2 linked regions of the Schizosaccharomyces pombe genome follow. Changing the gene in region 1 together with any one later gene gives a genetic interaction. Each region holds a gene or a part of one and is shown in the gene's direction. Other genes may lie near its edges.

Evidence for each region. Genes that interact genetically often act in the same process or in processes that back each other up.
Region 2: mutations in SPOM_SPAC11D3.03C (region 1) and SPOM_SPAC12B10.01C together harm fitness more than expected from each alone (negative genetic interaction), as found in Schizosaccharomyces pombe (one large-scale study listed by BioGRID).

What each region holds. Positions count from the first base shown.
Region 1 is NC_003424.3:110,402-114,013, reverse strand, and holds SPOM_SPAC11D3.03C (uncharacterized protein), read left to right. Parts: upstream 1-2,036; 5' UTR 2,037-2,100; coding exon 2,101-3,009; 3' UTR 3,010-3,110; downstream 3,111-3,612. Other genes in the region: SPOM_SPAC11D3.04C (polyketide cyclase SnoaL-like domain protein), read left to right, coding at 705-1,097.
Region 2 is NC_003424.3:4,569,796-4,577,603, reverse strand, and holds SPOM_SPAC12B10.01C (ubiquitin-protein ligase E3), read left to right. Parts: upstream 1-1,960; 5' UTR 1,961-2,162; coding exon 2,163-7,106; 3' UTR 7,107-7,299; downstream 7,300-7,808. Other genes in the region: acetylase Sdg1, read left to right, coding at 669-1,376; zds family phosphatase type A regulator Zds1, read right to left, coding at 7,481-7,808. UniProt on the Schizosaccharomyces pombe protein: E3 ubiquitin-protein ligase which accepts ubiquitin from an E2 ubiquitin-conjugating enzyme in the form of a thioester and then directly transfers the ubiquitin to targeted substrates.

The sequences.
Region 1 (3,612 bases):
GGTTATCGAAATATATGCGAAGGAGAGATTTATATACTAGTCAAATTTAAACAGCTGAGATTGCTTTAGTCATCGCGTTGTTCCAGATCGTGAACGAAAACACCGATTCGCTCGCTAAAGTAGATACGAAATGTCCAGCAGATTTTGCTTAATTAAAACATAAATATTGATGAGCAAGAGCAGCTCGTTATAAATCAGACCTCCAAGGATTTTATCAACTACTCAACTGGTTATGTGAATAATGACTCAGTTAAATATTAAATGTACTCTAAACGGTTATCATACAATTTATTAGGAGGATTATACCAGCTAGTAGGAATTTAACCATTTCAAATTTAAACCTCTTTTTTTTCGTAACTTGGGGTCGTCATAATGAATAATTCTGTTTGTCGAATTTGAAGGGAAAAACACACTTGTTATCTAATTCCAAAAAAAAATAAAAAATTTTTAAAAATTAGTGGGGTTTTTTTTTCACCAATGTCTAATGATGTGTGATTTAAAAAAAAACGTGTGTAACGCATTGTAGTATTACTTACCTTTGCATGATTAAAAGTATATGTTGATATCGACTATTTAGAGGTAAGATTAAAAATAGCTAAACTTGATTTGTTATTTCAGTTTTGAGTTACATCAACCTAACTTACAGTACTGTGCGACACATTACCCTATGTTTCCCACTCTTAATCACCAAAAATTTTTTCCGAATGTCGCAAGACTCAGAATCGTTCATCCGGCAACTGTTTAAGGCATTTACGGATTTTAGTACTGACGTTGAGTCACTTAGAGGATTTTTAACGCCAGATTATCGACAGCTTGTCGATGGACGTGAATTGACACTTGACGATTTTATTTCTCATGCCAAAGCACTACGTACCCATCTTCATCGGCTCGACATCAACGTTCAACAAATTGTCTGTCAAGGTAACAAGGCTGCCACTGTGCATATTGCCCATGCGATACGTTCCTCTGGCGAGTCCAGCAGAATCAAAGTCATTGCATTTTACAGTTTTAAAGACGGGCGTATTTCTTTGATCGATGAGTTGACGTACGTTCTTGAAGGTGGTAATGCAGACAGAGAGCTTGGATCAGTACAATGACTTCAATTACCTTGACACTGCATTGCCCACGTTATTCAACGTCCATCAGGAACCGGACAAATTATTCAGAGTCCTTTTGAACTACTTCATAATTTTACAAATATTCAAGTGTAATTCGTAATATAATCAGTTTTATTCATCTTCGTTGTCTAAAACTTTTATGTGCTGCAATATTTGGGGAATCTCGATTTGACATAATGATCCCAGTGCCTCCAACATATGTTAATTGCGAAGTGTCCATTGTTAGTTCAAATAGCTGTGAATAATAAAATTTATATAATTTTGAAATTAAATTATTTTCCTGTTTTAAGGTGTTTATGGACTGCAATAATACAAGCTGACTTTAATAAAATATTCACCAATTTATTTAATAAATTTTTTTAATATCATATTTCAATGTTTGATGATACAAATCTTTTCTAATGTCATCGCTAACTTCGAAATTCTTTTTTTGTAATTATATAGTTTTATTATTATTATTATTTATTATTTCAAGTTTAAATAAGCAATCAACAAAAAAGTGCAATTATTCATGCTTGGTACACTTACTTTTTCAAATCAATAAATTTAAACTAACACATAGAATTTATGGCATTCTCTTGCGCTAAGCAGCAAGTTATTCATTTCACTGGAATGTGAAAAATCGCGATATCAGAATGTTGTGAGAGCATTAACAGCTAATTCTACTGCAACAGGCACAGCCGAGGATATGTTTACAGAGCATACAGCGTGATATTCTGCGAGAATATCATGAGTGATAACAAACACACAAATACATGTTATTCTATCTTATTTGAAGCGGGGCCCCACAGTAGATAGGTATATTCGCTTAAATCAATCGGAAAAGCAGTGTTTTTAACGCTTTAGTAGATAGGGGAAGGAAACCAACTGGCCGACAGACGTTATAAATTAACTATCCAACATGAAAGCCTTTCATTCACATGGGTAGCAATCGTCTTCTATTTTGAAATTCAATTCTAACGTATTTTATTTTAACTTTTAGATGACAGAAATTTCAGAATTAGCTTCTTCTTCTCAAAAACCCGAGAAAACAAAATATAATTTACCTAAACCTTTACCCGCGTACTATCCACATCCAGGTTCCCCCTTGTATGCAGATAAAGAACTTTATGCTCGTATAGCCAATGCTCCTAAAAAATTAGTAGGAAGACATGTATGCCAACCCAGAACTGGCCTTGCTGTGAAGATTCCCCAAAAATCAATATTTAGCATTGTCGTACCTGAAGGCCCTCAGGTATGTGATTTAAATATTTGGAACTTTCACAATCCTCGAGAAAGATTTTGGGCAGCTAGAACTCGCCAAATACATTCTGCACATGTTTCTACTTATGACAGATTATGGTCAACACTACCGTATTTACGACCCCTAGTTACAATAATTGGGGATTCGCTTCAGGCACGACACGATGAATGGGGTGGACGAGTTCATGACACACTCGGTACAAGATGTGATCCATACATCGATAAATTAATTTCTGGGAAGGATAACGATTTGCATTGTCATTCCAATTTAACGAGAGCTATAATGCCATATGGCTTGACAGAGTTTGACGTCCATGATGTATTGAATGTCTTTCAAGTCACCGGGCTTAACGAATATGATCAATACTTCATGGAAACGTGTCCCGCAACTTCAAAAGATTATTTCCAATGTTTCGCAGAACAAGATTTATTGGTTGCAATTAGTGCTTGTCCTGGTGGAGACTTATCAAATTGGGGCTGGGGAGAGGACGCTACTGATGTTGAAAGCAGCAAAATGGTGGATTGCTGTAGGCCTTTGGCTATAGAAGTCTATGAGTTAGAAGATGAAGAGAACTCATTGAAAGGTTGGGTTCCTCCACAAGTTGTTAACTATACCGGAAACCATGGTCTCAAAGCACCATCAAGTTGATCTTTGCAACGGACTAGATGTCTAAAAGATATCAGTCAATATATATATGAAAAATGCTAGTTTTAGAAAGTTTACAATCGTTTTAGATAATTTAATTCTTTAGAAACAAATATTTATTCAGTACTTTAATGTAATTGATTTAAAATAGATAGGTTCCTCTGTCAAGAACACTGTACACTATCAAGCCATCGGGAACGACATAAGTATATTTTTTTAAATTCCATGGAACAAATCTTTTCTAATGAATTAAACTGAAGATCATGTTTAAAGCTTCAAAAAGTATTTTGTAGCGAGTAAAATTAGCAAACCTTTGCATTCTGTAACTATTACTCATTCAAAAAAAATATTCTTATCCTTGATTAAAAGATTGTATTCGGGTCAAGGACAGATTAAGTGATTCATCGTATAAAATTTTTTATCTCCTGTCGCATCAGCTAACTTCCTGGTTTTCTCTGATACTTAAATATAAGGAAACATTTTTCATTTTCCGCGCACTTTATTCCAGGCGTTTTTTTTTTTTTTATTATTCCACTATCTTTAAAACTTCTAAACAGCATCCGGCAAATACCTACTTTCTAAAATTCACGGGTTTGGACACACTAA
Region 2 (7,808 bases), 4.5 Mb from region 1:
TGGTCAAAATAGGCACGCTGAAAGTAGTGTAATCTATGAAGCTTTAATTTATATAGTGAAAAATACTGTAAATGGATTTCCTATCCTTGGTTTTCGGATTCATGTAAAGTTTGTTATGCAATCTAATCGATGCATTATTACCTTCCCTATTTCTCTACTCAATTGCCATTTTTTTTAAATGTATATTCTGTTCCTATGTATACATTATACTCTTTTTATCCTAGGAATTATTTAAAGATTTAATATTCAAGCCTAAAAAAATTGTAGAAACTAATTATTTAGTAACTGAAGATATAGCTTATAAATCCAATTGTTATTTCAGCTAGAAATGTTACTTCGATCGTCACAATATTCTTTTCTATTCCTAAAAACATTTTAAAAGCTAGTTGACCCTAAATGTGATTTATCAATAGAATCAATAATCTCAATCATTTAATAAGAGGGTAGATTTGATCAAATTCTAGTTGTATGAAATTACAATTCGCAAAAATTGACTGAAACAACCAAGGGTTGGGTAAATCTATGGTGGTATAATGGCTTCATTCTTACCTACTCCACTTACGAACCTCCATCTTCTTAAATTTCACAGTAGAAGGTAATTGTAAAAGAAATATTGTGACAATAAATTTTAAAAAGATTAGCAAAAAAGAATATTTAATTACATAAAAATGTCGAATGTGCAACGTAAAAGAATTGATATTCGTCGTCCCACCCTTGCGGAGCTGTCGAGTATTCGATCGATTGCCATGAATGCGTTGAACGGTCAATCGAGAAATCTCTCTCAAAAAATCTTTTGGCACCCGTTGTATCTTGCGGTTTTTGGTTTGGTGTTTATGGGGATATATCGCTTAACAAACATGGTAGAAGGAAATACAAAATTACGAACTTTTGTTTTATTAATATTGGTTAGCGCTGTCTTTTTGACGTTGATTGAATTTCCCTGTAGAAATGTGTATGCAAAGATTAGCACTGAAGACAATCAACCTGACGGCTGCTTGGCTGAAGAGAATCTTAAACATTTTTATATGGCCCGCATTGACAAAGAACGAGTTATTGGTATTATAGGTATCTTGCCTGCAAATGCTCCTGGTGCATACCAAAACACACCAACTATTGTCCACTGGACTGTCATTCCTAAATTTTATCAGTATGCGTTTGATCTCCTAGATTCAGCACTTCGTGAGGCGAAGGAGATGGGTGCTGACGTGGTCTCAGCACGAGTTTATTCAACCGACCCAATGTTGAAGGCTTTTGAAAGAAAAGACTTTACTCCTGTAGTTGATGAAGCTTTCGATTATCTATCGTTTTTCGGATTGCGCCGTTTAGTGCTTCAAAAGAATTTGAGCGAACAACCTGGTTTTGAAAATAGAAGATAGATTATTTAACTTTCCGCAAATATTACCCTTTCGTGCATGTAATTGCGCAGCTACAACTTGTTTTTCGCTGTATGTTCATATTTTAAATCTTTTTGTTTTGTGTTTATTTTTTTCGTGAAATAGTTACGAAAGAATTTCACGACGTTCAAGTAAATTTCTACCTAGGGCAAAAACTAGACCCACCGTGTTGTTGAATAATTGTTAAAAGTTTTAGAAACTATTTCATTACGTCCGCTCCATGTTCAAGAGTTCGTACCCGCTAGACTGTACAAAACAATTTGAATGTAAACTTAATATTATATAACTGATGTATGTTAGTGAATACTAAGTGAGCATCTCATTTCACTATCGTCAATTATGCTTGTAAAAACACAATCGATCGACTACAAAAGTACGTTTAACGAGTGTGAATCAAAGCTGAATCAATAAATAAAATACAGCATCTTGCAAATAAAAAACAAATTTAAAAATATTTAATGACAGTAAAAGACAGAAAAAAACAATAGTACTTAGAGTAATAACGTATTACTATAACACATACTACGGCAACATAATGGTGCGCCCTTGTTGTCGACGCTTTTGCCATCTCCCTATGTCAACAGCACATTCCGCCTTAAACAAGAGATCATAGAAGGATCAAATTAAAACTGGGATTTTGTCTCCTTGGTTCAGAAATTACTTGATTGTTTTGTTGGATTGTAATTAACAATCACTCCAATCGCTCGCCGAAAGGCTTCCAAATTTTGTTTATTAAATTAGCCTTTCTGAGCGACATTTTGTTATTTCATGTCTGTTCAAGCGTATACGAATACTCCGAATTTACCGAATTTAATACATAGTGAATCTATAACCAACTCACCTGTGTTTATACCAAACCTACGAAGTAAGTCCGACAACAAACATAGATTAAACACTTCTGAAGAATTGCCATTTACAAAGAAACGCAGAGCAACTAAACATTTTTTAAAAATGGAGGTATCTGCCAAAATTTCTGAACCACCTTCTAGTAAAAGTGTGGAATTTGGAAGGCATTTAAATATGCGGCATGATTTTTCCGAATTGCTTGAACAACCACTTACAACGAGCAAAACTAGGGTCTTTAAATCCTTTAATGAAAAGCTCAAAGGTAAACCCCAGTTAGTGAAATCCGATAAAGGTGTGTTGCCTCTTAATAAGCAATCGGATATACTGAATTCTTATGAACGCGTTTTAAGCAATGCTTCGGTTGATTCTGCATTAGACAAAAAGGCGGAAGTTGATATCATTCCATTTGATAAATCAGTTATGGAACCAAAGAACATAACTTTTAATGACAAAAGTGGCTTAACCAAGTTTGGGAATTCAAACTCTTATGAAACTACGTATTCTGACTCCAGCAACTATCATACTTCTACTGATTCGTCCCAATATAATGACCAAGATGACCACGTCTATGATGATACTAATGATGGAACTGATGATGATATAAATAATAACGAGTACAAAGACGATGAATCCAGTAGTGGCAGTGAAAGTTATGAAAGAGATGAAGATGTTGATGAAGAGGAGGAAGAAGACGATGATGAAAACAATGATGAGGGAGACGATGAAGATGAAAATGAAAATGACGAGTTAAGAAGCGAAAACGGTTCACCTAATCCTTCAGCCGCTGTTATTAATGAACAAGAAAACATGAACATGAGTGGAATCGAAGAATACGATGAAACTAACTTGTTAAATGAACTGGGAAGAATCAGAAGAGGTAATCAGTTTCAAAGTTTAGCGTCTTCTATACTTTCTTCCGGTAATTTGGAGAACTCTGATGACGAAGATGTTTCTTTAGGTCCACAGACATACCGTTTCAATAGTTCCTTTCATCCTTTTCGTTCTGCATTTTCTGCTCCAGGTGTTCAATTTGGACGCTTGTTAGAAGGAATAAAGGATTTTAGTGATCCTACTGTTCAAATGCTTTCTCTTCAAGAACTTTCCGAAGCGTTTGCTATGAGTACTGAAGATATGCTTGTTGGATTGTTTTCAACCGATTCATACATTGCGGCTTTTTCCGAAATCTTATCTGGGCGAAATTATGATTTCGGAGAAGTCTCTATTCAACTTATGCTATCCTGTACTACCTGTGTATCTAATATGATGGAAGCTTTGCCTTTATGTATGGCTAAAATAGCATATAGTCCTATTGTTCGCATTCTGTGTGAAAGAATGTTTGATATGCAATACATTGATATTGCTGAACAAGCTTTAGGAGTTTTAGAACGGCTTTCTAAAGATTTTGGTATTTGTATTTTGGAACACAGAGGAATGTTAGCTGCTCTCCAATACTTTGATTTTTTTTATACTACAGTTCAACGGACAGCTATTTCTCTGGCTGCTAATTGCTGTAAGTTTTTGGATGAATCCAATGCTTCCGCAGCAGAAGAAATTATTCCATTGCTTTCTAATATTCTACAATCTTCTGATACCATAGTCGTTAGTAAGGCATATTCTTGCCTGGAGACAATTATTGAATCTTTGAAAACTTCACCAAACATAATTGAAACGATAATTTCCGAGGATTTGATCACCACTATTGTCAATGCTTTGACTAATTCTACCTCACAAAATAAGTCAATGCACTTACAAGTGCAGCTATTACATATAATATCATCTTTGTGTCAGTCATCTTCTGCTTTGATTTTACCTTTTCTTAACCATAATTTGCCGGATGTGATGTACGAAATGCTGTGTGGAATACCACCTTCTGATACATCCCATCAGGCTGATATGATTACAATGCAAAGTTTGTATTATTGTCCGATCGAGTTAATAGAAAACTTGTTAAGAGCTATAACTTCTTTGCTTCCTAAAAACACTAGTAACTTGTCTGATGAATTTAACACGAAACTATATCGATTAAACAGTATACTCTTAACTGTTGTAATGGACATTTATTTTATTGTGCCCCTTCATGATATCCGATCGTTAGCTGTGACTACGGCATTGAAAATGTTATGTTCAATTAGGGAAAATAATTTAGATGGCTTAGTTTGTTCTCTTCCTTTATCATCATTCATTGCTTCAATTTTAAATTCACGCAAATCTGACAATTTCTTGAAGCGAGATGCTTTAGAAATGTGTCTATTTTTGCTTGAAGCACTTCCTAATGTTTATTCTTCGTTATTTATACGAGAAGGCGTTGTACAGGAGGTTGGATTTTTAGTTCGCTCTACCAATGCAGACATGAAGAAAATAAAGTTAAGTATTTCCTTTTCACAAAACAAATCTGCTGCTCGTCATGAGGAGTTGAAGAATTTATCGACGTTAAAGAGCCTTGCCAAGGAGTTTCTCTCTAATTATAAGGAAGAAAATTTAGAAAACTCAACATTAGTTCAACTTAAACAATTGTCTAAACATTTATTAAGTGAGACCAAACAAGACGAATCTTTTTCAGAACTAGCCAAAATATTTCAAGAAGGATCTAATATTACTAGTCATGAATTACTTCATTCTGGATTAATTCATAATTTGCTTTTATCACTCAAAAAATTTGGAAGTTCATCTCTTCGAACATTTTTGTTAGCTATGAATACATGTGATGAACGCGAAGTTTTAGAATTTGGTAATGGTCCCTTAGTTTCACTTATCTTTTGTTTGCAAAATCTACTTTCAACTGTTGAGAATTTTCAACTTTCAACGTTACCCCCAGATACTGAGAATGCGGTAGATCATGTTTTTTCGCGGCAGTTTAAACTTCGTTTAATGGCTCTTCCGGGATCAAGAATTCGACCACCTTTCCGATCTCTTGTCGTTTCTATTAATGGGCTAGCTACTATTCGTACACTTGATAATTATCTTCACAGTCGCATTTCTGTGCGTAATGAAACTGGACGTCGTTTTTCAATCCTCCGCGAGGCCGGTTCTTTGAGGGAGTCAATGAGTGGATCATCTCGTAACTCTTCAGGAGACTATACTGACTCAATGTCTCAAGATGCTCCTAATCACACAACAGAGCCATCAGAGCGACGTGACTCCTCGACATCATCACATTTCGAGGAACATTTTGTATTCAGTTTGATGGGTAAAAAGGTACCCCGAAACAAAACAATATTCAGAATTTTATATGAGTATATACAGTTGTCTGACGATCATACTCTCGATGATTTTTGGAAAACTCCTGTCCCAATATTTTATGGTGAGCCTGATTGCATTCACAATGATATGAAAGGGGAGTTAAACTATGAGAATGAAACAGAGGGATTTTCTATAAATATTAGAGAAATATTGGATTTATTGAGTATTTTGTATTATGGGATTAGAGACGTTCATACCCTCTTTCCTGACAAACATTTCCGTGGCAACATTGAAAACATTCTTACAGATTTTAGCAACTGGAAGTTGAGTGCCAAATTGAATAGACAACTTGAAGAGCAACAACTTGTTGTTCACGGTTGTTTACCCTCCTGGTGTATATCACTAACCTCTGCATATCCATTCCTAGTACCGTTTGAAACTCGATATCTTTTATTGCAATCTACTGCTTTTGGTTTATCAAGATCCGTTTCTTTTCTTTTGTCCCGAAATCCTGAGCTATCAAAAAACGAAAGTTCCTCCATACTTCAATTTGTCAGCTTACATCGCCAGAAAATTCGTATTTCTCGGAAAAAAATATTTAATTACGCTTTGCATTTGCTTGCAACTTATGCGGCTTCTGAAAATATTCTTGAAATAGAATACGAAGATGAAGTTGGTTCAGGTCTTGGGCCCACTTTGGAGTTCTATACTTCAGTATCTAAAGAATTTACCTTAAATTCTCTCGATATTTGGCGGAATGATCAACCCAACTCTAAATTTGTGTACCAAGCGTCTGGACTTTTTCCTTCTCCTATTCCATTATTAGGGTCCAGTCCAGAAAATGAAAGAAAAATTTCGTTGTTCTTTGCTCTTGGACAGTTCGTTGCACGCTCGATTTATGATTCAAGGATAATAAGCATTCAGTTTAATCCACTTTTCTTTGCACGAAATATACCTTTAACCATTTCCTCTGTAGCGAAAGTTGACAAGGGCTTAGCTAACTCGTTACGATATTTAGAGAAATTAATACCGGGTAAAAACCCTACAAACGCCGAGACGGACATTAAGCTTGAAGACCTTCATCTCGATTTTACTCTACCGGGATTTCCGTCTATTGAACTCATACCTGATGGAGCTAGTACACCTGTGACAACATTCAATGTGAGTGATTATTTAAATTATGTCATTGACTATACTGTTGGAAAGGGTGTTCAACAACAATTAGAAGCATTTCAAAATGGGTTTTCCAGCGTTTTTCCTTATACTTCTTTGCAAGTTTTGACAGAACATGAATTGGTCACACTATTCGGTACTGTCGATGAGGATTGGAGTTACGCGACCTTGATGAAATCTATAGTAGCAGATCACGGTTACACCATGGAAAGTCCTACAATCCAGAGATTACTGACTTTGATGAGTCAAATGAATTTTCAAGAACAAAGAGACTTTTTGCAATTTATTACTGGAAGCCGAAAACTTCCTATTGGAGGATTTGCTGGCCTAAATCCCCCGTTAACTGTTGTTAGGCGCTTAAATGAACCTCCTTATGTACCTGATGATTATCTTCCAAGCGTGATGACTTGTGTGAATTATTTGAAACTACCTGAGTATTCTTCAAGTGAGGTTTTAGGAAGTCGACTTTCTAAGGCTATTTTAGAAGGACAGGGCAGTTTTCATTTATCCTAAGCATTGTTTAGAAAAAAAAAGTTATTGTATAGCACTTCAGTAGCGTTCTATGATTACTTCAAAATAGAGGCTATGTACAAATATAAAGCGAAAAAGAATTGGTAATTTATTATAGAATGGGTAACTTCGTACTCCCCTTACAATGTAAAGTAGCATAGCGAATGAAATTCATTAGAAACTTATGCATTGAGTAAGAATTTTATATTTAACTCATGAAAATAAATAACCACCTGCTTCCAGAAAGTGTTGGTGAACAAGATACAAATTTTTAAAGACAATGAAGACCCTGTAACATATAACAAAAGTCGCCAAATGCTAATAATTAACCAATGAGGAAAAATGTTAGACCAACGAATAGCAGTAGGGTAAAATGATTATTTAGCATTCTTTGAAACTTTTTGAATATTTTGAGAAACGGTATGAATAGTCGATCCTTTCCTATTAAGATTTCGCTTACGCTGATCTCCAAATTGATAACTGAGATTCTCCAGCTCGTTTTTTACATTTTCTGCTGAAAACTCTGAACGCCTTTGTTGTCCATTAATGTCTTTGCGTATTGGTTTAGCAGTAGACTGTTGTACATTATTCATCGGGCGATTTGAGCTAATTCGAGAAATTAAATCTAAGTATGAATACATAAAGTTACTTAAGAGAACTTGTTGAAACAATGGGCGATGCGCGTTTGACAACTTTATATGAGAG